Lepisosteus oculatus: one gene and its partners. The protein of the gene in region 1 interacts with the protein of each later gene in a biochemical or structural test. Links are inferred from orthologs where the notes say so. Each region holds a gene or a part of one and is shown in the gene's direction. Other genes may lie near its edges.

Region 1 (11,295 bases):
GTAGGTCACCGTACCAAATATTGTCAGGCGGAAAAGCAAGCCGATTACTTCATTGCGGCCCAGAGGCCGGGTTAAATTCTCAGCTGGAATCTCTTTCAACACCATTGTCTTCTGCAGACCTGCTGAGAGAACAGAAAAATAAAATGTTATATCTGTCTCAAACCAAATTCCAAATTAAGTCACTGATTCTGACCCACAAAACAGGGCAACACTGATCAAACAAAAACAGCACAATACTGTCTGACCTGTAGCGATTAGATGTCTTCTTTTAAACAATTTCACTTGCATGAGAAAAATGATACAATATTTCCTTCAAGGCTAAATTTGCCGTTTTTAAAACCTGAACTGATTTTACCAAGTAACTATTTCTGTATTTACTCTCTACTATGCTTGCATGAAGCAAATTACTCATAATCCTCAAAGGCTTTTATCGAGAAAGTCAGCCCAGCAGCCTTCTTCAAAATGAACTAACACAAACCAGAGGATACAAGTGATGATGACACAGAAGTGTATTTAAATGTGCAAAAAAGGCCATCTTTATCCACTTCTTTATCCAAAGAAGAAAATGAAATTACCCAAAAGAATGCATGAATATGAAACAAGCTACCAAACCATGTGGCTGTAGTTGATACTTAAGCTTCAGTCAAAAAAAAAGCTAAATGAGATACTTGGCTCAATTAACTACTAACTACCAAAAGGGCAAGATGGGCTGAATGGCCTCCTCTCCTTTGTATCCTGTCTTATGTTTTAAATAAAAATATTGCAGACAGATATACTAAGAATTAGACATGTGGCTCCTTGTGCTCTCACCTTCTGAGGGCTGGAGCAGCTGTCTTACTTAACCCTCTCTTTTCAAGAGACTAGCTTTCCTGCTTACATAAGGCTCCTCTGGGCCTGCACACATCTGAGCCAACAAACTCTAAACACCTTTGCATTTTACAAAGCCAGTCAAGTAAATTACACTTAACACTTGTCACAAGGTAAATCATTAATTTAAAAATGACATTAATATTCGTTGAACCCAGCAGAATCGCTGTACTGCTTATCAGAATGATTACTCTTCCTGCGTTTTTTCGATTTCTGTTGAAGGTCTGTCTCCGGTCTTGACAGCACAAGGAAAGAAGGCTTTATCAGTTAATATGTACTGATTGGACTGTAATAATATAGAGGTATTCTCTGGAGTACTGTGGTGGGAAACACGGCGAAGGGTGTTATTTGGCACGACAGCTTTATAACAAATAAAAAGTGCACTTTAAAGATCTTGGACGACTTGAGCTGCTAAGGCTAAAGCACTTCAAATACACCAAAGGAACTAGGCCGCCGGCTGCACAAACCTACAATTCTATTTTTATTTTCAATAAAAAAGATCATACAATTTCCAAATGGTGCCCATCTAGAAGAAATACTATATATATATAGATTCTGGAACTGACAGAATATAAAAATGATCTATGCTTTTCTTCCCAAATTGCATAAAAATAATAAATAAGGCAATCTACAAAAAACTAATCGGAGCCATTACTGTTAAAATGGATATTCCGATTGCGTTAACAAAATTTCACTTACTATAAAACACTTTTTTTCTAAGATGAAAACCTTACACTTTAATTTATCACTACCACGGCCTGACTTAAACCTTTTACTTTGAGACACGACCTTCTCGTCTTTTTCATCCAGAAGAAGCACGAAAAAAGTGAATTACTTAATGTCTTCAGTGTTATTTGTAAAAGAAAATATGCAATCGTAATTTTAACGAATTTAATGGCACGGAAATTGTAGTATTGTTAAATAACATACTCACCTCCACGTTACTCTATATCACCTCATCCACTCTTCCAGATCCAGGAAGTGAAAATAAAAGACACACTCCATGAGAATGGTGTCACAGCAGTTACTGCTCTGACGGAACCTATGAGCTGTTTTAAAACGTTCCTCTATGTATCAGTACCTTACGCTGTTAGTCGATTTCAGGCACGAGTTAACTTAAACATCTCACATCTTTGGCTGAATCTTGGATCTTGGATCTGTCATTTTCGTCTTATAGTTTAAACAATCACGCGGTGATGCAGAAGTACAGCTGCGGTTCTTTCAACCCTGTGATGGGACGAGAGTTCAAACCGAAGACTCCCACGATAGCAGATTAATCCGCAAGGGGGTAGTAATATCACAACGTGTCCGTTTGAGAGAGCTGAAGCGCTTAAATCAGACTGTTTAAAGTATAAATTATACTGTAACGCAACGGGGGCTCAGGCGGGCGCCCTTGCCGCATTAGGTCGGCCCCTGCACCGTCCGGGGCTCGAACCCGGGACTTCCGCGTCTCTCTGCAGCGACCTAGCCCCGTGAGCCAAAGAGAGATCTCTCTACAGCCCAGTAGCTGTGGTCCTGCTATCACAGGGAAGGGCGGTGACGTCACCCGCTCTGGTACGCCGGCTCTTACACAGTGCCTGTCGGCCGTAAGCGTTACAATACTATAATTATTTACGTCACCTGTAGATCTGAAGTTCAAATACGAAACCCACCTCTCCTCAATTCACTTACATTTTGTAAAGAACATAAGAAACAGGTGACGTTTTAATCTCGACGATATTTAAATTTAGAATTGCACTAACTTCAAAAATGTGTTGCCCATGTTACGCCACTGACTGTCAGTACAGGCGTACAGTATATGCGTGGAGTGTGCCGAAATAAAGTCTGAGCTCTTCAAACTCTACTGGTCACAGGTTTTAAAAATCAGGAAAATCTATAATTAGAGCATAGCATTCATATACAGTAGATATATTCATACATATTATGCACATACAGTACATTAATATACAGACACCTATAGAAGGCTCCACAGCCAAAACGGTGTCTCTTTTCTTTTCAGCACGGAATAAACCTTTACTTGTTCCTTCATATACAGCATATGTGCATTCATACACATACAGTACATGATACAACAATATGATACAGTTATTTACGTTTTGTAAATATAAATATAAAATCTGTACTATTTTACTTTATACTATATAATATATAGCAATATAGTGTATATACTACATATAACAATTCAGTTTTGATCTATCAGATTATTTAATTTTATATTGTACACCACACATTCTTGAAGAAAGAAAATCAAAGTATGATTATCTGAACATTTGCATAAGTGAGTTAGATGTTGTACATATACAATATAATTTTTTATGATCATCTTTTTTTATGTTCCTGCTGTAGTGTTGACATATCTTTTCTGAACCTGCTAATCACATGGAAACCAGTCAATGTATTTAAGCAGAAAAGTCACATTATGGCATAATTGCTCACCAACAAAAAAATAACCTGTGTGTTCTGAGCTTGGGCAGCACTGCGACATGGTTGGTGAACTTTTTCTTCTTCACAGCTGTTGCGGTTCTGGGTTTGATTCCGCCTTCTGTGTGGAGTTTGCATGTTCTGCCTTCTGCAAGAGCAACTGTTCTCCTGCCATTTCCCCCAAAACATGCTGATAGTGGTTAACTCTAAGTCATTCTTGTGTGTGCCCTGCAGTGGGCTGGTCAGGGTATGGTCCTGCCTTGTGATCTCTGCTACCAGCTTCTGCTAAAGGTTGCCACAGCCCTTACCACGTACAAGTCCATGTATGATGAGGGAACTTCTCAATGGCATTTCCTTTAATTGTTTACTACACAGAAGAAAAGTCCAGACAATTTCATGCAAACTGTTAATATTTTAAGATAACTGACAAGTATTCATAAATAGAAATAGTTTTATATAATATGATGCATGTAAACCACTTTTAAAGCCAGGTGTTAAAGGTTTTACAAAGTTCAAATCAATAAAGTGACAATAAAGAGATTTCATGTCAGAGACATAATTCACTAAATGCAATGCCTTCTCAGTCCCCAAAGCAGCTGATAGGAATGATAGGAAGGCCTTATAGTATAAAAATATTTCCAATAAGCTTTCCTGAGGATCAGTTCATCTGAGCCATGGTGTTCCAGGTAATCCCATTTAAATACACTAATTGTACTTTGAGTATTAACTAGGCACTGAAATGATAATTACAGAGGAAAACAGCCACTGTATAATCTGTATTAGATTTTTTTACAAATAAAGTTGAAAGAAAAATGCAAATGCTAACATGAGTTTCCTTTTCTTTGCTAATCAGAGATTTAAAGAAATCCAATAAATTTAGTCAAAACAGTAAATCTTCCCATTTTGACCATGCCAATACCAAACCACGCAATTCCCTATTAGGGGTCGGTAATGATTAATGATAAAATTTCAACATTTGTTCCACTGGGACTCAACAACTACTGTATCTCTCAGTCTGGTTATTTTTCAAACTACTGATATGGCTTATATTCAGCTTTTCCTAAATAAGATGAAGAGCCAATCTAAAAATATAGTCTGAAAAGCTTTGCATCTAAATCTTAGATCATTCTGTTTCTCTTTTAGGGTTTGAATATAGTTTCTTCTAAGAGCTGAGAGAGCACAGAAAATACTTAACAGCAGCTGTTCACAAAATGCACTGAGATTGACCTGCATTTAATACAGATAAAAGTTCTGATGGTTTTGATCTTATTAGATAACATTAAAATAATTTTTGCTGCTTAATACAGAAGTGTCAAATATGACCTTCAATTAGAACTGTTCTTGTACCATGGCTAATAACCTTCAATTAAGTGGCCTATGGTGGCTATGAAAATAATAGAGAAGATCTTGACATGTCTAGACATGAACAGGTGAGCTGTAGTATTGCCTTAGTCAGTCATAGCTGTCTCAGATGATTTACCGAACATGCAAAAAAAGAAATGTTATAGTATCAACCTTACACATATATATGTTAAGATCCCTATGAATTGCGTCTATATGCAAAACATGTTTTGTGTCCTCTATGGAAAACATTTTGTCCTTCATGGTTTCTTGTGGATTTTTGACACGATTTTCATACCTTTGGATATCCCTCTGGCAAAGCCTGGAACACGCTGTTGAAGCCAATAACCTGACTTCATTCAAAAATGTCTGGCTGAGACCTCTGGATTGTCTACTATCAAATGGGCTTGATGGGTTGAATGACCTTGTCTTGTTTGGGTTTTTTTTAGGTTCATCAATGAGGTCTACATTCCCATAATGCATATTAGAGAATTATGAAGATGTACAAATCTCTTTCCACTTTATTTGGTGATTTGTCTGTACGCTTGATTTGCAAAACCTAAAACAAGTATTTGAAAAACAAGTTTCTCTGTGCTCCTTTCCATGTAATTAGGACTTCTGAATTTCCTCAGACGGGAAACTCAGAAAGAACATACCAGCTGAGCAAGTAAAACAATGTCCTTGATAATTCAGAAAGCTCTTCTATCAGCAGGGTTTTCCAACTTTTTTGCCTACCTGCATGGCTTTCACAAGGTCAGGGTGTTTCCTGTGTATTAGTGAATTGGTATTCCATTTATATACAGTATCATTTTTTTTTCAGATCTCAGCTACATTTGATAAAGGTCTTTTAGGTAGTACTGGAAATCAATTTAAATGCTGTGAGTTACATTCTTGAATGGCAGTTTTTGAGAATCATTGTTTTTTATTTTAAAGTTATAACGTCACATGGATTTGTGTTAGCCTACAAATACTCCCATCTCACTATGAGAGCAAAAATGAGTTATCAGCTTGTAAACAGTTTTTGTTCCAGAAAAGCCAAGGTGGGAATATGAAAAATGAATTTCTCACATCAAAAAAAATGATATAGCAATTTATTGCCATATAGTAGTGCAAGCACTTCCATAGGTTAAAAGAATTTAGCAACTGATAATGATCAGTCTCTAGATAAAAATATCAGTTTATTTACATTTATTTTAAACGTGCTTATACACAAGCAGTTTAAGTTTAAATAAATTGTAGAATGGTTGCATTTTGATTTGTTTTATAAATTCTCTCAGTTTGTTTGCAATAACTAATTCTCAACAAAAAAGGATTGTTTAAGTCCAACTGGTATAAAAGTGATAAATAAACATTACTGAACAATTGGATTAAACTTTTCTGACATTAATGTTTGCATGTTTAGTTGTTGTCTGCATGATTCCCATAATGTAACCCCTTATATTTGATATATTTGACATATAAAGTATTCCCATCCTAACACTAACCCCAAGCAACACAAACCTTAAACTTGCATTTATAAGTTATTGTAACCAAGGAACATGGAGTAATGGTGTTTTCACTTCAAATAATAAATACTGTAGGCGAATGCAGATCTAAAACATTTACTGGTTTATTTATGTTTTCTTTCTCTAGCTATAAAAAATAACAATACAATGCCAAAAGAAACAATTGAAAACAAATCTAAAAATTAAGCCAAAGTCTCTTCAACCACAGTAAGGACCTTAACATATTTTATTTGTGCTCTTAACAGGTGCTGGGACTAGCGTTTTAGACATGTTTAGCTAACAACGTCAAGAGATAACGTTCCCACATCGCTTTAAAGTCTTTAACACGTCAAACCAGTGAGATTCTTGACCCCGTCAAACTCCAGGACAGGAAAAAGCAGCCGGTCTTGTTTCAACGTGTCATTCCCGTATAACCTGAAAGGTGGCGCCATGGCATAAGTCTTTACCCCTATGTCGTTCACTAGAACGTTCTACAAAAAATAAAACCCAAATAACGAGTATGTGCTTTTAAAGCACATCTCTTGGACCTCGGACTGTAGATGTATAGGTTCATGTCTCTATTTTATTTTTTGGACTTATATATATTATATGCTGGAAGACAGTGCCACAGATGACTGTGTGTGCTACTAAGTGACACGCCTGGCTTGGACTGGTTTACTTGATCTGATTTTACTTTTCTTGCTTGCGTAAGCACTTTACAAGTTGTACTGGGTGTCACTGCTAGCTAAGTTATCTGTGATTTTTTTTTCATTGATGCCATTTATTTTCGTTATTATGTAATGTTTTTGTTCCTCGCTCACACAGAACACTTCGCAGACGCTTGTAATAATTATCTCTGATAGACTTCAGAAACAATTGGACGTTTTTACGTATGTCAGCAAATCCCTGGCCTCCTAATTGTAAAAAAAGAACCTCAATTATTAGCGCGAAGCAAAGAAATAAAATATTGGAAACTTCCCCAATTACCAGCACACGTGACCTGCCCTTGGCAGAGAGGAGAGTTTCCCTGCGGTGTGCCTGTGTGTCCTTCCGCCCTCACTGTAGCCGCTAGTAGTATGTCAACGAGGCGCACTACGTCGGGTTTAAATGCGAAATATTTATTTTCGGGACACATTTTTCCGTTGCCGGTTTCTCTGTTGCGTGATCGGGACACCTGCGATTAAAGCGGTGGTAAAATCACAGCCACAGCAGGACTATTTGTGCACGGCGGCAGGATATATGGTGTAACCCAGTTTGTCTTTTTCTCTCGGAAGCCATGATGGAACTTTAGAGTTTTTTTTGCTGGAGAGGACGGAAAAAAAGGAAGGAAGATCGTCTCTATATATATTAAAATATTTTAAGCCCCTTTTATTATATATATTTTTTAAATTTTAAGGTGGAGGCTGTCAGTTTTTTTTCCCTGGTGTTTTGGACGAGGACGAGGATATTGTGTGCTTGGAGGGTTTCTGGGGGGGGGGGGGGATTTTAATATATATATTTTGTGTGTGTCTTGTCACAATTTTTCGGGGTTATTTTTTCGGGATCGCTGGAGAGGCTTTCTCTCCGCTTTTCTTCGCCTCAATCACGGCGGCGGCGGCGGATCTAGAGACTTGGGCCGTATTTGAAAGCTCACGGTTCGGGAACTGGGGGATCGCGGGAGAGATTGCGGGATCGGGGAAGCCGGGCCCGCGGAGGAGCGGCGAGAGGAGGCCCTGCCAGCAGCCATTCTAGTCCAGCCCGCAGCCGCAGGCAGCCGCCACACTCGGGCAACTGCGAGACCCGGGGAGCGAGCGGGGGAGACCGGGGGACGGCCCTTTCCACAGCCCGGGGAGGCAACGATACCCTCTCTTAACATACAAGCCCTAAAGACTCCTTTCACGGCGATGGCTGCGATCATCAAAGAAATCGTCAGCAGAAACAAAAGGAGATACCAGGAAGATGGATTCGACTTGGACTTGACCTGTATCCATTTTATACATATTTTAAGTATGCATATACATGCATGCGTGTCGGCATTTTAAACATTATTCTTAGGTATAGGGGGCTGAGATCCGATTCATGTTGAGTGGAATATAATGTTTTTGAGTCGAGGTCTTTTTTTAAATAGAGGTAAGTGGGATGTGGACGAGATCTGGATAGTTGCAGCTCTTATGGCCGGAGAGCTTTCACATTTCGCTGTAAGTGGACATTAAAACGGTTCCTGATCGCACTGGAGCATTGTGCGGGTAAAACGCCGTTTTCTTTCAGAAAAAGCGGCGCGGATGTGCGTTTTAGTGCGGTGGAGAAGCGATAAATGAAACGGAAAAGGAGCCCATTCTCTTTCGCAGTGTGACGAGGTCTTGGCCTAGATAAGGGAATGGATTAGATTAAATTCAAAATCACTGCTACACAAAGAGACATTGCATCAGCAACCTGCAGAAAACCAGTAGGTACGTGTCTCTGTATTGTGTGGCCAAATTAAATGCTTAAAGGTCTGGAAATATGCTGTCATTTAGCCAGAATCGAGGTTGATAAACGTGTGGTGGGGGTGGGGGTAGGTTTGGCTAATTTAGCCAGCGAGAAGAAATGTGTTGTAAAATATGCGTAGATGTCGTCTTTAGTAAGTCTTAGAATTGCAAATAGCGGGTTTATAATCGGTGTGGGTTTAAAAAGATGGATGTGTTGCCTACGGTCAGTAAAACACGGAAAGGATCAATTTAAAATAATCGGCGGTGGATTTATATATCGACAGGGACCCTTTCCAGTCTGTCGTCGTGTTTTCCAAAAGGTGGCTAAACATTCATGTCGTGTCGTTTGGGAATGTCATTTCACAGCTTGGCATCGGCGGTCTGTGAGTATCTGTGGGTCCAGCAGGTAAACCGTGCGGCTCCCATCCCCAGGCCTGCTGCCTTGGGTACCTCCTCGACAGAAACGCGGTTGACTTGACACTTCCACTAGCAGGGCGAAAACATCTATCGATTATCAGCGAGGTCCTCCGGGCACATCATCACCGGCGATGGCAGAGGCGTTTGATCTTGTTTAAATTCTCTTGTCTGTGGAACGAGAAATGATCTTTGCGTTTTCTCAGTAGTTAATGTGCATCGCTCCTTTAGGTAGATCTGGATTACGATGAGTGCATTTTCAGGTAATTATAGGTGAAGTGCTGCAGTACTGCTATAAAGTGCTCCACTTTGTTAACGGTAAAACTGATTTTGCGGATAGTTGAATTAGAGGCTGGATAGCACCACGGACCTATATGTAATTGGATACCTAAAGCTGCTTTTCCTTCAGGTTAGTGGTACTTTCCAGGCCAAACAGTAGGCCAAGACTGTGCTTCAATCACATATGTACAGTAGTCTCGCAAAAGGCAAGGCATTACCACTCTTCCTACAAGAAGTTTACCACAGACTGTTATAGAGACATGAAGTGCTTTTTTCTTTTTAGATTGAGTTGCAAACACATTTCTTGGTTTCCAGTGTAGTGAGGAGAGACAGAGATGGGATCAGTCCGAATCCCCATAAGCAGAGAAAATCACAGGCCTTGCTTTCCACTAAGACAGCAGGGGCACTGAGCAGAGACCTGCTTGTCTCGCCAGCTGGATACTGAATCCTGGCTCCTGGCTGTACTATTGGGGCATGCCTTGACATAATCAAAATACTATGTACATAATTCGACACTTGTCTGCTCCTCAGTTTAGTTATGACAGTCTTTGTTGGAATTAGACATTGTCGACAGGAACGGTTTTCAATCAATGTGAAATTTCTTCCAGTTGTTGAAAGACATGGTTGGAGCTTAGCATTTTGTTTTTCTCAGATTTGTTCTTCTATGAAATTGGTTTTCACCATGCACATGAGTATAAAGAAAGAACACACAGGCCTTGTAATGAGTTCTAGAAATAGGTTTTGTGCTGTAGGCAGATGCATAAATTTCCACTGTATTTTGGTTTAAATGAATTACTAATTCCCACAGTCTCCAAAAAAGCTATTAACTGCTGAACAGCTGTAAAAATGTTGATGGTATTACAAGGCGTCTTTCAGACCTTTAGGAACCTTTTGTGGGCCTCAAACTAAAATATGCACCTTTAGTTAATACAAACTTCTTAAGTTCAAAATGTTTTTAGAACCATTTTTCATCTGTATCTTATGGCATTGTAGGACAGCACCTTGGGGAAAACCTCTGGGAGAACTGTTAGGATCATAGCTACCAATACTTGGATCTTCCCTTCTTCATTCAACCGGACCACTTGAAATCCAGCACGCAGTGTTTTAACAACAGAAGATGTTATTTCAATCTCGGGCTGCCATCCCTGCTGTTCAAACTGGAATATTGTCCATTTTGAGGGTCAGTGGGTGTTCTAACTGTGGGCAGGTAGATCACTTTTTCTGTACATTTACACCCCATCTGTTAACTGCCTCTCGCCCAGTTACCGTGTTTAAGGACAGGAATATAACTTGTCCTTTTCATCTCTCTGAGCGTTGATAGTCTTCCAGCTTTGGTTATGATATGGTCTTTTCCTGATTGTTCGATGGCTTTTTGTTTTTTTGGTCACTGTGAATTGAATGTAAGGCCCCGATATTGATGGCTTTCTATGTGCTAGCCCCCAGTGAGGCTGGTAACTGGTTTTCCTAATAAGTGTTTTTTTTTATGGGGGATGAGGGGATGGGTAGCCATTTTAGGATGCTTTCTTAATATGGTTTAAGAAAATGGAGAAATGTGTACACCTCTGTAACTGCATTGTCACCCCTTGTCATCTGATTGTTTAGTAGTGAGCTATGAATTGGTGTGTAGAGAATGTTGGAAAATTATGTCTAAGTGCTCGATTCTAAAGTTACTGGGTTTTTGGTAATGCTGGCATGCAGCTCCTGACTGAATTCCGGCTGAGAGTAAAGGGATTTAGTTAAACCCTCACCATGAAGGACTGCAAAGGGACGTGTTTGCAGTTGCAGGTGTCATCGGTGGTCCTTTTTGCTTTTTTTAGCGTTTTGTCAGAATCCTAGACTTTTATGGAAAAGCTCAGAAAAGCCCACAGTCCCCGTAGCGAGGTTATGTGAAGTGTACGGCTTCGGAATTGGCTGTATGTGCTTTGTTACGTGATCAGAAATGATTGTCACCTCTTTCTTAAGTATAGGCCTGTTTGTAAATGGTGGGCTTTCAGTTAATTTCCAAGCATTCTAATGTTAATGGAAATGGGTAAAAGTTGGCA
Region 2 (10,499 bases), on another chromosome or scaffold:
GGATAATGGCCACTGTGACGATGACGGTCAGGCTTGTCAAAAGGAAAAGAAGAGCAAGAGCAGCAGCCAGCTTGGAAGCCATTTCCTGTGTCAGAAATGACCAGCAGCACTGAAGGCACAAGAAGGGCAAAAGCTTTTCACTGCTGCTCTCTGAAGGGCGACCAAAACAAAAATACCCATTCTCGTGATAAAAGCTTAAAGGAAGATGGATTTCACAGTCATGCGCTGGAATTCGTACTACATTCTTTTTATTAAACCCATTTGCGGGTTTTTCTAACACATTCTATGTGTTATGTGTTTCTAACCCATCTTTTTTCCAACACAGTGATACAGTGACGGTTGTGACGGTTTTCCACTAGGAGAAGGTACAAAAGCGACAATTTCGCGAAGGATATCCCATGACCGCCGTGTTTCCTTCACACACCTTAGCTGACTAATTTGAATACATGGTGAAAATAACATGAGCAAATACTTGTGTTTGAACTCCAGGGAGGATCTTGTTTGCAGTAAAAATAGAAAACAATGTGTCAGCAATAAAGTATACCTCTGCTTACCTCAGCAAATACAATAATTACAGATGAAGTTCTCTCCGATTCACTTCTCCTCCAAAAACGGCAAACGTTTACCACAGTCAGATGAGACGAGGTACATTTTGCTGAATGCTATCATTTTGGGAGGGGGTTACAGTTCACAAACAACGGAATTGTAAATATGCATCTTTATTTAGAAAAAGGGCTTTCTAAATGCTGTTTACAAAGTTCATTTTTCACTCTGTAGCTTATGTTTCTACTTCAGCTATTTTTAAAGTGCAATTCTGGTTGTAAACCAGTGAGTGTATGCATATACATTAAATATAAATGCATATGTAAAAAGGTATCTACATTTTTACTTCCAATAATGTCTTAAAATATCTTTATAGCTTCACAAAAACATGTGAAGAACTCACTGCTGTTCTCAGTATTGTGTAGGTTCTTAATATTTGTTTAAAAGTTTGTCTCCCCTTACAACGCCATCTAAATTGCTATTTTCTCACAACTAAGATTGATATTTTTATATACTTCACTTAAAATTGACAGATATCAGATCAAACAAGATTAAAGACAATTCCTGGTACCTATCATCTACTGTGCTGTCATAGCAGATGAGACTCAACGGGAGAGACCTAGACACATATTTGCAATGAGGTGGAACAGCCAGGAATCTGTAAGACCTCACAAATCAGATTTATAGTCAGCTTCTGCATGTCTTCACATACAGTACAAGCCTCCTCATAATTGTCTGCTCTCTTTTTCACATTTTAACGCACTTAGAATTTGACATAAACAGTTTTACTCATTTGACCATTTTTGTTGCTAAATGAAACTTCTGTTTCTTAAAATCAACATGAATTTATTTCTCAGTTGTTTAATTCTAATCAGAGACTTCTTCAATTCAAGAGACTTCCTTTCTGTCGGTCGGCAATGTGTTATTTAATAAATACATTTGACTGAGATCACTACTTCCTAAGTACTTTAGAATGTGTCAACATTTAGTTGCTATTAGGCCTTACATGGCTCAATGCCTTACTCAAATGCATCATTTACTCTAAAATGTGTCCTTTTAACTCGTTTAAAATGCAAATGACAATTGACAGAATATTTTAGATTAAGTTAGCGTATTCAAACTGTTAGTATGTCAGTTTTGATAGATTTTATTTTGATGGATTTGTTCCATAATTTTTCCCCCCTAATAAGCAAGAACCACTGGTTACTTATGCTGGTATGACAGACATATCTAAAGATTTTTCAAATATTATCTGTTTTTAGAAACCGCCTTTCTTTCAGGTAGAAAATGGATGTAAAATGGCAGGCAGCATTATTTGCACTAAGTTTTATTTCTTGATTGTTTCATAGTCATTTTAGCTTTTCATTACAGCTTCTTAAAAAGCGAATAGCAATACAAGGTAGTGTGAAACTTTTTTTGCAAGAACACTACTGCGATCTTTCAAAAAAGAGAAAAATTGCTACTCCTCTTCCCCAGGGGGTTATGGCAGAGATGCATTTGTTTAGAGTGCCACAGATTGGCACACATTTCTACAGTACCTGTATGCATTGCTTTGCTCTCTTGGTGTTCTAAACATTAAAACAATTAGCTGCAAAAAAACAGTGATGGAGCCTGATCATACAATGTAGATTATAACATAAAATAAACCAACATCCCTCCGGGTTCCAGTCGGGATTCTGGTAAGGCACAGGGAATTGTAATCTTTTAGAAATGCTTGAAAGAGTCTGCCTCTGGACAAGGCTGTGATGGAAGGTTGGGGACCCTCTTTAAGTTTAAAGGAAACCATATACAACCAGCACAGCTGTGTTTGTATCTCTGCCAGAAGTAGACAAAGATAGTTTGCCTCCATCACATTACTCTGCATCACCAGCAGTGAGGATTTAATGCAGATAAAACAATTATTTAATTTTGGAAACAGGTTCCCTGTTCATACTGAAAACATAAAATACAATTTTTAATAAGACTTTCAAATAACCATTGATATGACAATATAATAAAATAATAACACTATTTTGACCCATATATTGATTTGACTTTTTATGCCAAAGTAAAAAAAATCTATTCCTAAAGTCTCCAGCAGATTATATTGTTTAAAATGCAAAATACTAAAATGGAAATTACATTAAAACATTTCAATTTTTTTTTTCAGTTATTGAACCAATTACCTTCAGGTATTAAAAGGGTTCATGCACCTTGTGCTTTTCAGCTGCTTAAATAAAAAGTTTATACATGCAGAGAATATGAACACATTTTCTTTTCCTTTTTCTTATATTGTTAGTAATCACACAGCATTTTGGATCAAAAATAAAATTATTTCGTTTTCTCCATTAACCCCACTGAAGTAATTTAGGTGAAGATATGCCTAATGACAAAGTAAGATTTACTGCATAGATAGTTGGTAATACAATGCCCTAAATGTAACGTAATTATTCAGTTACTTCACAGAGAAATTAGGATTAGCAAATCACGTCTACAAGAAAGGAACCTTAAGCACCATATAGTTTAAAACACGCATTATGCATAATGCTACAGAAATAAAATGTCTTATATCCCGAAATGTAGTTGTATACAGTACATTCCTAATGGTCCACTTACCTTTCTGTAAGGTCCTTCTTAAAATCCTTCTTAAAATCACATTACTTTCCTTTGCTAAATATAGGTTCTCAGTGATTTACTTGGGCTGGCTGCCTCTGCTCAGCTGATCGTGGTTTACAAGGATGATTCTGTGCTTTAGATCAGTGCTCTATATGCATTTGGGCCACTCCCAGATTCTCAGTGCTACCTTCAGAACATGCACAAGTTTTATGATTGGTGAAGAACCATGACTGCAGCTTTATCTACAAGTCATCACTCATCACACATAAGTCCCTTTTAATTCCACAAAAGGACCTTCCTACAACACAGAACCTTACTATAGCAAGGCGTGATCTGTCTTTGTCTTTAAATGGGATTCACTCATTCTGCAAAAAGTGTACATTAAAAATTCACACGATCTCTCAAAATTCCTCAGGAACAGGATAGGACTGTTAAAATGTTCAGATTTACAAAAGAAGAAATTGTGTTCTATGACAGCTTTTTTTAAATAATGAGGAAATCTAGACTTTTTACATCTTGAAATTTTTAAATGGTGTAACCATCTGATTCAAACATTATACATAAAAGTATTGATTATATATTTTATAGAGGGCAGTACACAGTGGTCAGCATTGCTGCCTTGAGGTGCTGGGGCACTGGGTTCAATTCTGGACTTGGAGGGCTGTCTGTGTGAAGTTTGTATGTTCTGCCATGTTCATCTGGGTTTTCTTTGGCTGCTCCAGTTTCCTCCCACAGCACAAAGACATGCTCGTGGGTTAAGTGGCTTCTGGGAAAACTGACCCTGAAGTGAGTGTGTGTGTGTTTGTGTCTGTGTCTGTGTGTGCCTGGGGATGAACTGGCGTCTCCTCCAGGGTGTATCCTGTCTGGGATAGGCTCTGGTACTGCCTCAGCTTGTGTGATGTAACAGAAACCTTAGGATGCAGCCTGTTGTCTGGGAGGAACTAAAGGGGTTGAGTCACCAATCTGTATCAACCTGTAAAATATAAGTGACATAAAAAAGAATACAACTAAAATTCAACTTAACTAATAATTCATTCGATGGAGCATATAAAAAAGAAAATTTTACTGAACTGAAAAAGACTAAAGGTATCCCTTAATCAACTTTAACGGTAGCTTCATTACTGGAATGTGAAGCTGAAACAAATGGATGTGCCAGATGCATTCAGATAGAAAGGAAATTGTGAGAAATAAACTGACTTACTCTCCTAATTCATCAAACACTGAAGTGTAACTTATTTTTAGCAACTGGTTATATGATTTGATATCCATTTGTCTGAAAGAGCCAGAAAGAGAACACTTCTTAATTAGATTTGAAAACTGAGACATAAAGGCTATCCAAGCCTTTAGAAACTCCGGTTAGAATTTTCTCACTAAATATTAATGTGATTTACCACTTGTTTTATTCCAATACAAGCATCACACTTTTGTATTTGAGCATTTTCTCTTTTTTTATCACAAATTATAAAAATTCAAATGCAATACAAGAACTGTAAGCCTGATTTTTAACCCATACTGTACTTGTTTAAACCCCCTGGCTGCTTTGTGTTCAACTGAAAATCATAACTTGTGTGAGAAGAGTCCTCTTATACAGTAAATGCAAATTGAAAGGGAGCATAACATTAATGTGACATAAACATAGTATGTGGAAAAATCATCCTTAATCAGAAATGCCATGATGCACAAGGTGCTTATTTGTTTGCAAGTAAATTAAAGTAGTAATTAATAATTTAAACCAATTTAAATCACACCAGGCTATCATTACATCTTTCTCAGTCAACAGAATGTTATTCTCCTCTACCTAGTGTAGGCAGAACACACCTAATACAAGTGTCTCTGCCATTAGATAACCCTATGCTCTATGTTGTTTTAGCTCTAAAGAGAGCTTACGTTGAGAGGAAGGTCATAATGGGAAGGCTGTTCATAGAGAAAAGCAAATAAAGCAAACCACCAACCAGAGTTTTTTTTTTAAATAAAGCTGACAGTTGTACAAAAACATCTGTTTATTTCAAGCCTTTAACTGATAATTCTGGTGGTGCAGTCCAGGAATATTATTGTTTTCTCCTCTCTGAAAGCTCCACGGCCGAAACGTTGTTTTTTCTGCTCTTTTCAGCATGGAATAAACGTATTACTTGTTCCTTTGCAACATTTTGAGGATGTTATTACACAGATGTGATTCGCAAGTCAAGGCGGCTGCATGTCAAGAACTAGCGGACAGCGACGTCTAGAGCTCAGGAGCTCAGTTTGGTATCCTAGACCTAGGCAAACACGAGTCAAGTCGCTGGTTTGCTGTACAGGTTCCTGAACTGTACGGTGTGGTGCATGTGTACATGTCCTGTATACAGGACCGAGCACTTTAAAAAAAAAAAAAACTTTTTAATCTAACATCAAATAACACAAAGGAGAAAATGTATCCCCCAAAAAAGGATAAGGGAGAAAAAACAAAACAAAGCGCAGAACAGTACGCTTCCAGAGGTAATTAAATCAGGACCCAAGTCAAAATTTTGACATACATCAATTGTGTTTTTTGCCTTGTTATTTTTCGAGGTTTTAATGGAGTTCAAGTCATATTACTTTTCCCTCTCGCAGGCGTTACAGAAGGGAGTAGCGCTAAACCCTTGTGTTCTGCGGATGTGATCATCTATACATAACAGCGCTAACAGACTAATTGTTAATTAACGCACGGAGTGGGACAGAGCATTTTTTTTTCTTTTTTTTTTATTAAACATAAAGAAATTTACAAATACAAATACAACAAGAGGATCAGAGTCATGTACAAGAGAAAAATAATGTAGCAGAAAAAAAATATTTAACTATCAGAGGTAATTAAGTAATTATGTGATCAAATTGTATATTTTAAACGTATCATATTTTCCTTGTTTTAATATCTCTCAATTATTTATAAACTTTAGTTTCAATATGCATGCGTTCCCTGTAAAAACTAAAATTCAGCTCACAGTTTTATACAAAAAAATGTTTTTCTTTTAACAACATTTCGAGTACCTCTGACATTCATGAAAAAGATATACACAAAAGGGAGTGGGACAGAGCAGTCGCGCCGGAGAAGCCCCTCGCTGACGTCACCGCGCAGCGGCTTCACGCACGGCGCGCCTGCGCAGAAGGGAGCGGCTCCGCGGGCGGAAGGCCGTATCTGAGCGGAGCGGAAGTGCGGTGGTCCTTTCTGTCTGGGTCGCCAACATGGTGAGTGCATGCGGCCACTCGCGGGGTGGAAAACCTAGAATATTCGTCGGGATGTTTTTCGCATGTGAAGGTGTAAAAGCCTAGGATCGTTTTCTGAAGGTGCCGTAAGAGAAATGCAGTGGAAAGACGTCGATATTGTGGATCGTTGCGCTGAAATGTGTGGAAGAATCTTCTAGGGGGTTGTTAGCGTGGTGAGACCAGCCATGAGATGGAGGCCTGCAGTGAACTCTGCCCGGCCTTTTCGGAGGAAAAAGCCGCTTAATTGTGTGTTTAATTACGTGTACAGTTGACTTTTTGCACCAATGTAGTTTTTTTTCTTTTGTTTCTGTTGTAACTGCTGTGTGGACGCTGTTGGAGAATTAGTTTTGTGCTTTTTAAGACCCGCTTAAATATATATTATCTAGTAAGTTCTGTGTATAAGAGATGTTACGGCATTCGGGAGTGCTTTGTTGAAATAATTCAGTTTATTCTGGTCTTTATCCGTTACGATTACCCAGTCTCATTTTTTTGGCTTTCAGTAGCGTGTGGTAATATTTTGAATAACATCCTAAATGATGTCTATGTTGTGCCAACATAAATCGTGTAAACGTCTAAATTGTAGTTATTTGTGCAATATTCTTTCAAGGAAAACTTGATCACATCTTGAGAGAGTGATCTCTTAAATTGTAGTAATATTTTCGTATCGCACGACAAACCACATGACTTAACTGCTTGATCCCGAAGCGCTTTGAAGCCTCATCTCATTGCTGCAGCCTGAGCACCGTATGTCTCCGAGGCGCCCTTCAATCCAGGGTCTGCAAGGTTTACGAAACTTCTCTTATGTTCCAGTAAAACCATTGTAAATCCTGAACACGGATCGATTTTACCTCCTGCCTCACTGCTCAGTTTACGAAGTTTAGATCTCCTTCTTACTGCTCTTCAGTGGTGACTCAAGCCTTTTGCCGGGAGAGCTGCTGCTTCAAATCCGTCTGGGTTTTCCCTCTTCTGCCAGAGCATAGTTCACTTTTTTTAGCCTTTTCCATCCTTCGGATGAGACGTGAAACCGAGGTCCTGACTCTCTGTGGTCATTAAAAATCCCAGGGCATTTCTCGAAAAGAGTAGGGGTGAAACCCCGGTGTCCTGGCCTAATTTCCCATTGGGCCTTACCAATGATGGCCTCCTAATAATCCCCCTCTATGAACTGGCTACATTACTCTGCTCTCCTCCCCACTGAGAGCTGGTGTGTGGGGAGCGTTCTGGCGCACTATGGCTGCCGTCGCATCATCCAGGTGGGGCTGCACACTGGTGGAGGTGGAGGGGAGTCCCCATTACCTGTAAAGCGCTTTGAGTGGAGTGTCCAGAAAAGCGCTGTATAAGTGTAAACAATTGGTATTCTTCTTATTATTATTATTGTCTGTGCCCCCACACACACTGGACAAGTCATTTAGGTGTATTTGCATGTAGGCTCCTCCTTCTTAAAGACAGTATTATGTGTAAAATCATTTTATAAAGAACTGTACACTTATAGAAGTGGCAGGCATTCCAGTTGTGGTTCTTAGCAATTTTCACAGCTAGAACACTTATACCTTCTAGTTCTGCTGTGGTTTTTGTCAGTTAAGCAGGTTGTTTTAGGGGTGAGTTGAGGTCCGCTGGTCCTGTGTGTTCCGTGTTCACCTGTGTGTTTCCCAGCTCTCAGATGTGCCCAGGGCTGTGCTGCTGGAGGCCTAACAGTACGTGCACTGTGTTCTGTTGCAGGTGTTCAAGCGCTTTGTTGAGATTGGCAGGGTGGCCTATGTGTCCTTTGGCCCCCATGCAGGCAAACTGGTGGCCATCATTGATGTCATTGACCAGAACAGGGTAAGAGATCGGCTTTACCCCTCGGAAGTTCTTATTCTCCTCGTTCAAGACGGTGTTGTTTGATGTCCTTCTCCCATACTTGATTATAAGAAGGTTAAACGTATTTAAATGGTTCAATGGCCTGTGACTGAAGTTCCATTTTGTTATTGTTTTTTGCTGCTTATCAAGTCCAGGTTGTGGTTTAATTTGTATTGGGTCAGAAATGATTTACAGAATGTAAATGCTTTACTTACAGCCATTCGGTTTCACCTCTGTTTCCGTGTGTCTTGTAGGCGCTGGTGGATGGGCCGTGCACCGGTGTGAAAAGACAGGCTATGCCCTTCAAGTGCATGCAGCTCACCGATTTTGTCATCAAAGTTCCACACAGGTACGTTTTTAAGAAAAGCCTCTCGATTGTTTTGGGGTATTTAGACGGTGGTACAAGAGCCTGTCAAACCTTGGTGTCAAAAGACCTTTCTGATGAAAAGGCCGGCAATTTGAAGCAACAACAAAGAATCAGAAACATAACAGAATAATTGAGAATATCAATATCCACGGTTCGTAATCTATTGCAGAAACAGTAATACAGAACCATTGATGATTTTCCATAAAGATGTTTTAGCTGTCCCATAACTTTAATGAACATGCAGGTAATTACCATACATGAGTTATTTAATACTGCCGGTTAACTTCGTGGACTTGTATACCAAAGAGTGTATTAGTATGGCTTGAGTAATTTAACTCTTTCCTTTTCACAGTGCTCGTCAGAAATTTGTGAGACGTGCCTGGGAGAAGGCTCAGGTTAACGAGAAGTGGGTCGAGACCAGCTGGGCGAAGAAAATTGAAGCCAGGCAAAAGGTGTGTATCTTTGTCATTCGTGCCTTGATGTACAGTTACAGCTTACAGGTTTAAGTTTAAAGTTTTGGGAGAGAGAGGCCGTATTCAGGAAGGGAGTATGGTCTACCAGCACTTCTCTGTGCTGTTTGAATGACATGAGCAAACTGTTCAGTTGATTGAAGTGATTGAAGTGCTTGGTTTAGTTTGCATCCTGTGCCACAGAGCCTTGTCATTGCAAAATAAATATTACGACCCAGAGAATTATACAGTTGAAATGCAGAGAAATGTTAGAAATCAATGAGTTGGATAGCTTCTCCTCGTGCAGTGGGCATAGCTGAATGTGTAGCGTGAAGCAGAAGGCTCTCTATTCTTGTCAGTGGATTTGTTTTATGGTTGCTGCTCTGCTTTATTTACAGAGGGCCAAAATGTCTGACTTTGACCGTTACAAGGTGATGAAGGCCAAGAGAATGGTATGTTGTTTTTGAAAAAATTTAAAGGTGTTTCTCTCATAGGCTCAGGTGACAGGTGTGCCTTTTTTCTTTGCCCTCAATGTCAATTTAATAACATTTCTGTGAAGGAAATGAAGGGAACTTTATTTAGTGAAGGGAAGTTTTTTTTCTTAAAGATTTTTGTGGTACACAAACTTTGATTTTGAATGAAGACTTTTAAGCTGAAATGTCCTCCCAAAAACTTGTGTAAAGACAAAAGGCTTTTCAGTCATTTGTGCCTTGCAATTCAAAATTGCTCTAAAAACGTTTAAAACAAATGCTACTAAGAACAACGAATAACGTCACTTTTTGTAGGTCCTTGAAATGACCCCAGTCTAATTTATATCCTTGCCTCAGACGTTCCTGGCATCCATTTCATAGCATGATCGGATCAGGTTGTGGGAATGTTTCTGTGCTTTTTGAAAAGGCTTCTTTATTTCATAAACTGCTTTAAAAGTACCAGTAAGTTGCATGCAGTATGTTTTCCAAGATTTAGTGAACAAAGTTTATTAAAATGCCTCTCATAAATTGAGTACAGCTCAAATGTGAATTATTAAGGCATTGAGTTTCATTAAGACAGTGGGCATGGTTTAACAAAGAATTGAGATTTTAACCATATCAAAATAAACATTTGGAAATATTTTATGTTGGAATGGTTTGTAAACAGAACGTGAATCTTGCATTAGTAAAACATCTGCTGATTTGCTCAAGTTCTAAACGTTTGGTCTTGTGTTTTTACAGAGGAACAAAATCATCAAGCACGAGGTGAAGAAGCTCCAAAAAGCAGCACAGAAAAAAGCATAATTTTTTAAGATTTAAAATAAAATTGCTGTCTTAAACTGAAGAGTGGTTTGCTTTTGTTTTCTAGATATTTTTTTATTTTAAACTTTACATACATAAGTTATACGGTTGAGGTAAGGGGGTGTTTTCCAAGTTGGTTTAAAAGTCTGAATTTTAACCTCGGAGTTGTCCGTAGGCTGAGAGTTTTGTCATTACACCTTTAATGTGGGGTTCCATATATGG
Region 3 (11,105 bases), on another chromosome or scaffold:
GAAATGTATTTCTTTTGCAACCATCGAAAACAAAAAGAGGAACAGAAAACCACATTTGCTGAATACAATCTTGCAATTTTAAAGCTAGTTTGTCAAGATGTCAAGAATTTATGCTGTCAGTTGAATCCCCTGTAGCATGTATCCCCTGTAAGTTCCCAGCATTCTGCATTCATCTGCTTACAAGCATGCTTGTTTGAAGAAGAACACACCTTCCTGTGGAAAGGGTTAGACTAGGGTCTCACACTTGATGCTTGGAGGGTGTGGTGTCTTCTGTTTTTTGTTTTGCTCCTGTTCTCAGTTATATATTTGGTCTAATTACTTAATTGGCTTCATTACTGTAATAACTCTATCCAGGCTCTGGTGTGGTTTGTAAGTGTACTTTTATTGAACTTAATGTCTTGTGTAACCAGCGCTAAATGACAAAAACCCTCCAGGAGCTGAGTCTGAGACTCATGGGTTAATGTAGTGTAGCTCAGTGGCTCTCAGCCCTTTTCCTGGAAGAACACTTTCTGCCTTTTTTCATTCAGCTGAGCACTAAATCACCAGTTTTAATTGATTTGTTTAATTGTTGAGATTTAACGATGTTTCTTCGGTCGATTCAGAGACTCAAAACACACCCTGCTACATGGCTGCTGCTGTTCCCAGCAACATCGGCGCACAGAACTTCACATACTCTCAGCTTGCTTGATATTATTTCTGATTAAACAGAAGAGACATTGATCAGTTTATGAACAGACACAGGTGGGAGTGACACTACTGCGATGAGTATATTTCCAGAGGTCCAATTGGTTCCATTTCGAGCAGTTCTGAAACTCAGCAGCTGGTACAGGGTTAATGCCAATTACAAATCTCATTTGACCTATTAAGAGCTGAGAGCAAACGGAAAACTGAAATCAATGAGCCTGTGATTAAGAACCAGCTGGAGCAAAAACTAGAAGTTCCTCCAGGACTAGGGCTGGGCACCACCGCTGTGGCGCAGTCTTTTTTCCACTAATGTGAAAAATGAAGCCCATTTCCGTTAAAAAGCTTTTGGAAATGTAATATTATAGCTTGTGTGGTTTAAATCTCTCACCATCTTCCCACTGCTTTTATGGGCTTTATATATTTTAAAAAATTTGTGGAATTGTATTTTTCAGTTTTTAAAAAAAGGAGATTTGATAAGAGTTTTTGAAATGGGGTGGGGGATTACGGTCCTGTGATTGCTGCTGCTTTCGACATTGAAAGTTATCGCAATCGTCTTTGCAAACAAGGGCAACTCCCTGAGTATTAACATGTGGAAGAGATCAATTCCTTGCTTGTTTTCACTGCCTTCTGATTAATAAATGCGATAATAAAATGAAAAAAAGTATCGTTGGTGTCAGTGAGAGTCTTGCTGGGCTCATTACGAAGTGAAAAATATATATGTCATGTTCTCAGTTCTACTTTACACATACACAGTAATGTATATGGAGTGGAGGTAGGATGTTTCCTGAGGCATGATTTGGACTCCATTCAAAAGAAATTCACCCAGGACTTGCTGAAGGATATGTAGGTTGGATCTGAGGCTAGTTGGACTTCACAAGCTAAAATATTTTAGGGACTGGCGTAGAGTTTCATGTGTTGTTGGATGTATTTACAGTGTTCTCTGGACATGCTGAAATTAGGCTGCACGTTAGCCAGATAGTTTTATAATGATTGCCATGTGAAAGGATGTGGTGTCTAGGCACCACATGGTTATTTGAAGAGTATTAATCAGTGTTCGGGCAAATAGGATTAAGCTGGTGAGATGAGCTCTTGGAGTGTCTTTGCCTGCAGTGATCTGTATTAGGACTCCTACTCATTAACACCGTTTAAGGGGGATTCTGGCGTAGAGGCGTTCAGTCATAATCCCACAGGTGGTAGCTTCACACCATTGGCTTCTCGGCCAAACACAGACACCAAATGTCTGAACCTGCGGTTCCTCTCATTCTCATTCTGGTATGTACAGTTTCTAAGATCTAGATTCTGATGAGATACTGTTGAAATTCAATTTTACAAAAGACAGAATATGTATAATATGATTAGCATACACTGAATAACTTGCAAAGGAAATTCTAAGAAGACATCAATGAAATTAAAGATATTAGGGCATTCACTTGTCACACTACATTTAATTTAGACATTTTGATTATTTTTGCAGGTAGAAAAAGACAGTACAAATGTAAGATTGGATGTGTTAAAGTTATGAAAAAGACTTAAGCGTTCATGTTGATAGATCATTCAAAACTTTTAGACTTTTCTAGATCTAGAAAAAAAATCATGTCACAAGAATATATACTTAAATCTGAAGTTAAAATTGTACAGTACACTAATAAGACTGCATTTGTATTATTGTGTACAGTTTTGGTTACTCTTGAATCAATAAAGAAATGTTCCGCATGGACAGAGAAAAAAAGGCAAAGAAGTAACACTGAAAATTCTAACATTCAAAATTCTTGAAGGCCCTAACACAGTTTTCATAAAAAAATGAAAACTGTGTTAGGGCCTTCCTCAGAGCTGGAAGCTAAACACAAACCAGAGGGCACAAGTGTAAACTGTATATAAAACTGAGAACAGGAGGTCTTTATACAAAGGGTTGTTGGGGTCTGGAACATACTATCCAGCCATGCATGGCTGGTTGAAGTCGGTACTCTGGCTTCTTTCAAGAAATGCTGAATGAGATCATCGAATCGGTTATAGCTTCAAAGTGGTTTTGTCTATTCCGTAACCCCTTTTATTTTCTTATAGTTATTTATTTTTAGCTTTACAACAAGATAAACATCTGTTTATTTTTTTCCTTCCTTTTGGGTATGGGAAACACTAAAATGCACAGCAAGCTGCTGATAAAAGGATCTGATTCCAGAGTGTGTTCTCTTTAAATTTTTAATAATGGTAGTATAACTGTAAGAGATTAACAGGTGTGAAATTCAACATTTTTATGTCCCCATTAAGCAGTCAGCTATTTTGGTGTGCTTGTTAGAGTTCAGATTTGCATCTGGTCAAAGGTTTAGGGTTACGCATTAAATCGTACAGTTTTAAAGACATGAAATAATGCCAGTGTGGTAATTATAGATTTAGCTGCCTGAGAGCTACTCTGTGTCTTGTAGTGTCAGTGAAGAGGAGTGAGTAGGACTCTTGATTCCTAACTGGAAGGTTGTGGGTCCAAATCCTAGCTGGGGCACTGCTGTTGTACCCTTGAGCGGGGTCCTAGCTTCAGTAAAATTCCAACCCTGTGCAAATGTACAAGGCTTTGAATAAAATTGTCAGCCAAGTAAATTAAATTATTCAGAATACTTCCATTTCTTGGCCAGCAACCATATCACCCTGCAGCTCTCAACTGGCTACCCACTGAAGTTAAGCAGGGTTGAGCGTGGTCAGTCTGGTCTTCCCAGGAGGGAAGGCACCCTTCCTGTGGTCTGTGTGAGTCCTAATGCCCCGGTATAGTAGTGGGGACACTATACTGTAGTGGGTGCTGTCTTTCAGATGAGATGTTAAACTGAGGTCCTGACTCTGTGGTCATTAAAGATCCCTGGGCATTTCCCGATAAGAGTAGAGAGTTATCCTAGTGTTCAGGCCAAATTTCCCCCCAAATTGTCCCCATGTATGATTGGGTTGCCCCTGCCCTGCGATGGACTGGCGTCCCGTCCAGGGTGTACCCTGCCTTGCGCTCGTTGCTTGCCAGGCAGGCTCCAGCTTTCTGCAACACTGTAAGGTATAAAGTGGTTCGGCAAATGCCATGACATGACTTCCATTTCCTCAGTGCACAGTAGCTGTTAGCAGTGAGAAAACCGGATCACCCAGTTGAGAAATTACCAAAATTTAGTGGCCAAACTTTTTTCTGGATTGGAGGTCTGTGGGAAAGTAAGAGAAAGAGGAGCCATACCTCATGGTGGACAGAGAAAGTAACCCTGAAGATGCTTAATGAACATCAACATGTTGAGCTGCTTGTAAACTCTTTATTTACTCTTTAATCAGTGTAAAGCCAACTTCAGGGTCTTTCCTCCCCCCACATCCTAAATAATGATATAATTCCACAATAGCCACCTGAGAGGCTTCAGCCTTTCTTTAGGCAGAACACTGAATTTGTGGACTTTTGGGATGCATTTGTCTTGTTTTGGGTACTGAATGGATTGAAATGGTCTCCTGCCTTTCCAGTGCTTACAGATAAATGTACTGGTTTGGAAATTAACTTGAAAGGTTTCTTTTGTTTTGTTTGTTGTCAGATAAATGTTAAAAATGTCCACCAAAGGGGTGTAGGCCTAATATTTCATTACAGTGCTGTCTTTCTTTCTGCCAGTGTAATATTTATTTTCACATGCGTCTAGACAAAGTCTAGACAAAATAACATGAAATGCTAATGTTTTTTTTTTTAATTTTGCATAGTGTCCACTACAAAACAGGAATTCTGATAATAGAATTTCTTAGAGAGAAAGGAAAATGTGAAGTGGATGAGAAAAAGAGTTCATGTTACTCTCTGTGTGTATTAGACAAAAACGGTAGCAAATGAACATAGAGTATGTCTCACTTCATACTGTTTCTTTATTGTGTTATTGTCTACCTGATATTTGGTTGAAATGTATTAAATTCTACTTTATGTGAAAAACAAAGATATGATTCAGTACGGGTGGCACAAAGGCATTGTGGTTAGCATTCCTACCTCGCACTGCTGGGCCCTGGGTTCAGTTCTGGACCTGGGGTGCTGTCTGCCTCGAATTTGTGTGTTCTCTCTGCGTTCACTTGAGTTTCCTCCAAGTGCTCGGGTTTCCTCCCACAGTGCAAAGACACAATTGGCCCTGGTGTGAGTATGTGTTTGTTTCTGTGTGTGCCATGTGATGGACTGGCATCCGTCCTTGTGCTCATTCCTTGCTGGGATAGGCCTGCAGCCCTGAATTGGATGAACTGGTTTGAAAATGGATGGCTGATTAAATACATACATTTGCTATTCACTACTTGTGTACAGCATGTAAATACCAATCTCTTTCTTTCAGGTTCATCCCCGAAAGCACCGCTTGCTCTTTGAAGTGTTTGATGAAAACCGTTTGGTAAGTTTATTGTAAACATAGTCATGTTTTGCATTCACAAAGCCCACTATAACTCTTCATTTTTTATATATTTGTATTCATGTATTTGTTGCTGTGACTGCGGATAGAAAATTGTGTAGTTCTTCCTGCATTTTATTTTTGTTAGGAGTTTGAGAATAATTATTTGAGAACAATTACACGTGCTGGACTTTTCAGAAAAACTGACATCTTTCACACATTAGAGTGCTATGCGACGAATTAGATAATCTGGCTGGATAATTGACTGTAGTTATTGTATCATCTTTTTTAATATGAAAAATCATTTAGTAATACTGTCAGATTTCTAAGCCAATAACTACGTAGTGGAGTGTGCTAATCATTACAAAAATATTTCAGGATTTTGAGTATGCTAAAAATAACATTTTCTTTGACTTGGTGTATTTCTCAGGCTTGATTTTACAACAAGGGTGTGTTTTTGTAACATCTAGAAGCAGTTTCAAATACTAAGTTTTGGATAAATGTCTCTTTGTATATAGTAGCATGGAGTTCTCATCGGTTGTGAATTAATCAAAACCTAAATGAAAAATATAAGGTTTAGAAGTATATCTTTTTTTTTCTTGTGAACCCATGGGCTATGCCTATAAATATCTCAGCTATTTGGTGTGTTAACTTGCAATGAATGACCCAGTATACCTTTTATTGCATTTTATTGCTACAAAATGCAGGTAAGGGAAATGGAATATGCTCGGGGGTGTTATTAAAAGTGTAAATGAATGTGTTGTCAGCACATTAAAAGCAGTAAAGTATGAACATGAAATGTTTTTTTTTATGTTACTGGCCACTGTACTAAATTACCATAAAGGTTAAATAAACTCCCACATAGGAAGATGGCGTTCTGTTTCTTATTAGCTAAGGAACCTTTCTCACTAAGAGTTAATAATAATACTGTTCTTTTTTTCCCTCTTTGTCAGTCCTATTGTTTAATATGGCAAGAAACTTTTTTGCAAATATGCAAGGAAAAAATCTGTAAGGGGAATATACTTGATTTAATTCACAAATGCTCTGCAGCCTTGAATAATGAACAGATGTTGAAAGTGTACGTGGAGGAAAAATTTATAGATGGAGTTTGGGTCTCCTCAGATGTTATTAGTGTGTTTGGACACCCCGGATTTAAAGAAAGTTGTATAGGCTGTGAGAGATTTGGAACCATTCTCAAGAGTAAAAACCAAGTGGTGGTGAGTCCGGTGAGAACATGGCAAGCTCTTCAGTTTCCCAGCTCCAACATTTGGTGTCGGCTTTGATTAATACTTAAAGCGGGCAGGTGGTTTGCCAGTTGTGGAATTACGGATATTTAAGAACACCCTACTGAGAATCTTCCAGGGCTCACCGCATAATAAGGGGGTGAGCAGTCTTGACGTTGCCTTTAAGTGAAATGGCTAAGGATTATCAAATAGGGTTCCGTTATGGGATATTTCCATCGGCTGAGTCTTTTAGAGGTGCTAATGGGTACATCAGTGTTGAGTGCCGTGTCAATTTGTGTCAGGAAGTGTTGCTTCCTCTCTGTAGGGTTTAAATATGATTCCCAGTTATGTAGCTCAGACAAAAGAAATATAAGGATCTACAGTAGCATAAGTAGATAGACAGTAGAAAGGGTTTCAGATGTCAGTAGATGTGGTGAATGTTTTCCTAAGATATTCTGTAAAAATAATAAATTCTTTTTTAAGGTTTTGAATATTCGCCTTCATACTGAAAACTTTATTTAGTTTTATTTTGGGCTTTATTAGGGCAGTGAAATGGATGATTTTCAGCAAAACAAGTTTCATAGCTGGGGTAACTCATTGGAGAATGCTTAGTGTAAACATCGCTACTTCCAGTGCTTTATCTCTTCATCAAAGGGCTTCACAGGAAAACAGACATCATTTTACAAGCGTAGTTCATTTGCAGTTAGTAATAACTACCAGTAGCTTCCTGCATATTTGCACAATCCCAGTGGTTTTCTAGTATGGATAGTATTTGGGAATTCAATCCTTGGTTTGATACTGAATTATGCTGGACCTCATTCTTCCTGATTTCCTGTAATTCTATCCCAACGGGTAAAAATATTAGTGGTGTTACGGCGCAGCAAAGAAACTTCAGACACATTGCTGCTTAAAGCAGTTCTAAAGGCTCGGCTGGCCTGGAGCAGAAGAGAGAAGTACTGTGGCGCTTGAATGTGAAATGCTAGAAGATTGTTTTTTTTGGGCTGGATTCGTTCGTGCAAATTGGAGAAGGTATAATTGAAGCGAGGTTTTGGCTTGGGTTCAGTACAGCAGCTGAGCTCTGCCTTTAAAGTTGCTACAATGCTGTTCTCTGTGACTGAATGTACCTTGGCTCCTTAAAGATACAGACCATTAGGATTTGTGCAGTCTCAGGAGCTATTCGTTTGGTTGTGCTTACACTTCAGAGTTCATCTGACCTCCCTGGCTAATAACTTCAGTACAGCCACGAGAGGAATGTAAGTTGTCACTGGAGCTATTTCGGCTATGTACAGCTACTAATGATTGTAATCACAGAACAGGATCCGAAGCAGTTGCTTTGCTTCTTTTCAAGTGGGTTTTGCTATGCCTTCCACTCGCTTACAGGATTAGAAAGTAAGACAAATGGCACAGCGGCTTCGCTTGCATTTTGCAACCAGAAGGAGCAACACTGACCCTTTATCGGAGACCTGCAGCAATGGCGTGGAGAAAAACTTCAGCGTGTCCTCCCGGAGCCCTTCAGAGAGCAGAGGGCAGAGTTCGATTCAAATGAAGGTAACTCCAGGGCAGCTGGCTTTGCCTCCCTTGTCACCAGAGTTTGGAAATTTACAGCGCTGCTCATCTGTCTTTATACCTAAGGTAAACAACAGCAAAAAGAGCACTTCTTTGCAAATTTCCCTGCAGCCTCGCAAACTGAACGGAGAGCTGGAAAGTTGCATCAGCCCTGCGGCTGTTCATGATGGCTGTTTTATTCGTGCTTCAGGTGATGGAAGAACTTGTTCAAACAGCAAACTTGTCAGCGATGACACAGGTGCTATTCCTCACTATCCCGCTGCTGATCATGCTTCCTGTAATGAAGGTGAGTTTGGATCTTGTCTGACTGGTACCAGGAATGAAGGCACCTCTTTCAGCTCTGGCGCAAATGAAAGCAGCACAAGCAGTGGGGATTCTGCGTCATGTGCGAGCCCAAGCATAGATGGAGGTTCCTGCAGCAGCAGCACAACTAGCGATGCGGGGTACTGCAGTGGTAGCAGTACATTTTTCGAACCTGACATCCCTGAACGCCCAGCAGGGCCTGAAAGGACTTTCACGAGACGAAAGGCCAAGGTACCGCTGAGGCGCTGCTCCTCCTTAGTCATTTTCCCACGGAGCCCCTGTAACACGCCGCCAGCCTCTCCAGTTAGCCCTGGGCCTGCACCGATGCGTGGTCCATACCAAACCTCCCACCAGTTCTCACTGACTGCCGGCGAGTCTGCACAAGAGGACGATCAGATTGCATCCAAAGGCTCCATCGCAACAGCGCTCAGTGGCTTGCGGTTGTCTAAAAGCAGCTGTCCCACTGTGGAACTCAGGGACATAAGGCCACTGCATCTCAACACACCAGTGCCAGATAAACCCAGGGAAACTGACATTGGTCAGGACTGTACAGCTGTTTGTGACCGATCAGAACGACACGCGAGCATTTTGTTGCATTTCTCTCGGCAACGGGCAGTTGCCCAGGAGAGCGTGAGGACAATGACACAGGGGCAGCACAGCACTTCTGAGCAAGCTGTTCAAGGGCCGGGACTCGAAACTGAACCGCTGTGCCGCCACATTAAACTCGTCCGAAGCACATCGGCATATCTCCCATTGCAGAGGAGTCCTGACTACCAAGTTGGCTTTAGGGCAGAAGACAAAAAGGAAGGAAACCAAGGTCGTCATCATGCTCTGCAGAGGAGCCTTTCCCTTGAGGTGCCATATCAACATATTTCATGCCATGTTTCCAATCCCAGGAGACATAATTCGAAGACGGGACCCCCTCATGTACACATTCATTTGTCTCCTGGGGCTGAAGGAAGGGTCTGTGGTTCCCTGAAGGAAATAAACAGAAACTCAAAGGCTGACAATGATACAGGCAGCCCTGGCAAAAGGGACAAGGTAAGCTGCTTTGTTCATGTTCCTGGTCTGTACAGAAGAGTAAAAAGGTCTCGAGGTTCAGTTCCCTTTTGTCACGAGACAAAGTTTACATGTAATCTTTCAGCACAGTCTGGTATCATAAATGGGAAGTTGTGTTTTAGATACCTTTGTGAAACAGTTGCCCATAAAACTGTTTCACAACTGTGGGAAAAAAACATCAACCAAAAAATAAATACACATTATAGTTTCAGAATAGTATTAAACACCTCTGCTCTTTTAGCTAACATTCATGCAGCAAATACAGTAGAGTGCCTGCCGTGCACCGATTATGTGCACCAGATTTTTACTGATCACTCATGAGAAGAAAACCGAGAACAACAGATGGTTACAAGATGGTGAGGAAACTGTTGATAAAGGTTTATGGTGATTGAGTCCGTCTTTTGGTTCTGCCACAATGTCAGTGTTAATGTGTCATTTTGACTTGGAAAAGAAACATTTCATTCTTAAGTTACTGCAGTTTAAAAACCACATCCCCTAAAAATTTCCGAAACCTGCTGAAGTGATAGGAGAACAAGTTGGTAGCTTTTGTACTGTGCTCTTACCTCGGTTGCTGTTTGCGGTTCTGCATTTGATTTCATTGTTAGAACAAAGACTGCCAGCTAACTCTGCAATACACAGACCGTCTGTGAGCTACCTTCAGGTGTGTGTCAGTGGCGTATCCTTCGGGAACAGAAACCGTAGCCACTTTTTATGTCTGTGATTAACCTCTTGTACTGCAGTTTGCAAAGAATTTGGTTCATAAATGACAAAACACTAAAGTTGCCTTTTGTAAAAGCAGCAGGATAGAGTAGGAGCTGTAGCTCAGTTTTAATGTTGATGCAGTTAGGCTATATACAGCTGCTGCAAACATGCTATGAAATGTTTTTTAAAGAAAAAATGTAAAACTAGTACACACTTGTTAGAATACTTATTTTTTAATTGTGATGTTTTGGGTCTTTAAATTAGTTATAAACCCTTCTACAGTGTTCCTCCTAAAGTAAAGCAATAAATTAAAAGGAGTAAGTCTTTAGCCAGTGGGAATGCAAGTACCGTTTCTCCAGTTAAATGTCATAATGCAAAACATAGGTCCTGTATTGTAGAATAGATACTCAGGCGCTCTAGTGCAGTTTTATCAAGGAATAGATTTATATCCCTAAATTACGCAGATGTGAAATATGAGCATTTGCATAGTTACAATCAGCTCGTATGAGCACTGGATATTTGAAGCCAGTACCTGTTGGTTAAATAGCTGTGAAAGTAATTTTACCTCATCTAGAACATTAAACAATACCAATGTGGACAAACATTTGATGGGAGTTGAAAGTTCAGCTTTATTAATTTTCATGAAGGATGCTAAATACTTAAATCAACCCCTCCTGATCCTGTTTTGGAAATGAAGTAACTAATGTGAACACAGATGGCTTTCCTTTATTATTCTGTTAACACTTTTTGCGTGCACACTTCATATATTTATTCTAATTTTAGCTGTGAAAAGAGACCCCGCCTATAAATAAACAGCCTCAGAAGTATGTCTCTTGACTCCAGATAGTCTGGCCCATCACAGCGATACACAAGCCCTGGATTCAAATTTAACAGCTTGATATTAGAGTAGCTCTCAGCCATGTCAGCCGTTTGTACACTGGGGTCATGAAATTATATCAGGGCCTGGGTGATGCAGCCCTGTGTCTGTGGCACACTAAAAGGGCTGCGTGCTGCTTTTCCCATGTGTCTCCCTGCCAGCCCATGGTTGTAAAGCACTGGGTAACAGACTTTCTGTGTTTAACAGCTTGTCACGACCTGCTGCCTTAGGAACTGGCTAGAGGAGTCACTTGCATTGCAGTTGCAAGTGCTAAAATACAGTTTAAAAATTTTGAACAACTGCTCAATGTTTCATTTCTATTTCAGACTTCTTGTAAAT

The links. The genes of interacting proteins can lie anywhere in the genome.
Region 2: the proteins of ptenb (region 1) and rpl14 form a complex in vitro, tested with the Homo sapiens proteins (2 studies listed by BioGRID). The link is inferred for Lepisosteus oculatus from reciprocal best matches to the Homo sapiens genes PTEN and RPL14.
Region 3: of the proteins of ptenb (region 1) and nedd4a, one has a biochemical effect on the other in vitro, tested with the Homo sapiens proteins (7 studies listed by BioGRID, with this or other methods). The link is inferred for Lepisosteus oculatus from reciprocal best matches to the Homo sapiens genes PTEN and NEDD4.

Annotation. Positions count from the first base shown.
Region 1 is NC_090699.1:21,662,184-21,673,478, reverse strand, and holds the start of ptenb (phosphatidylinositol 3,4,5-trisphosphate 3-phosphatase and dual-specificity protein phosphatase PTEN), read left to right. Parts: upstream 1-7,152; 5' UTR 7,153-7,996; coding exon 7,997-8,075; intron 8,076-11,295. Other genes in the region: atad1b (outer mitochondrial transmembrane helix translocase), read right to left, coding at 1-105. UniProt on the Homo sapiens protein: Dual-specificity protein phosphatase, dephosphorylating tyrosine-, serine- and threonine-phosphorylated proteins.
Region 2 is NC_090705.1:43,035,875-43,046,373, reverse strand, and holds rpl14 (large ribosomal subunit protein eL14), read left to right. Parts: upstream 1-6,235; 5' UTR 6,236-6,333; coding exon 6,334-6,336; intron 6,337-8,070; coding exon 8,071-8,172; intron 8,173-8,444; coding exon 8,445-8,539; intron 8,540-8,909; coding exon 8,910-9,009; intron 9,010-9,404; coding exon 9,405-9,458; intron 9,459-10,217; coding exon 10,218-10,280; 3' UTR 10,281-10,320; downstream 10,321-10,499. Other genes in the region: entpd3 (ectonucleoside triphosphate diphosphohydrolase 3), read right to left, coding at 1-82.
Region 3 is NC_090700.1:45,802,519-45,813,623, reverse strand, and holds the start of nedd4a (E3 ubiquitin-protein ligase NEDD4), read left to right. Parts: upstream 1-6,841; 5' UTR 6,842-7,657; coding exon 7,658-9,169; intron 9,170-11,105. UniProt on the Homo sapiens protein: E3 ubiquitin-protein ligase which accepts ubiquitin from an E2 ubiquitin-conjugating enzyme in the form of a thioester and then directly transfers the ubiquitin to targeted substrates. Specifically ubiquitinates 'Lys-63' in target proteins.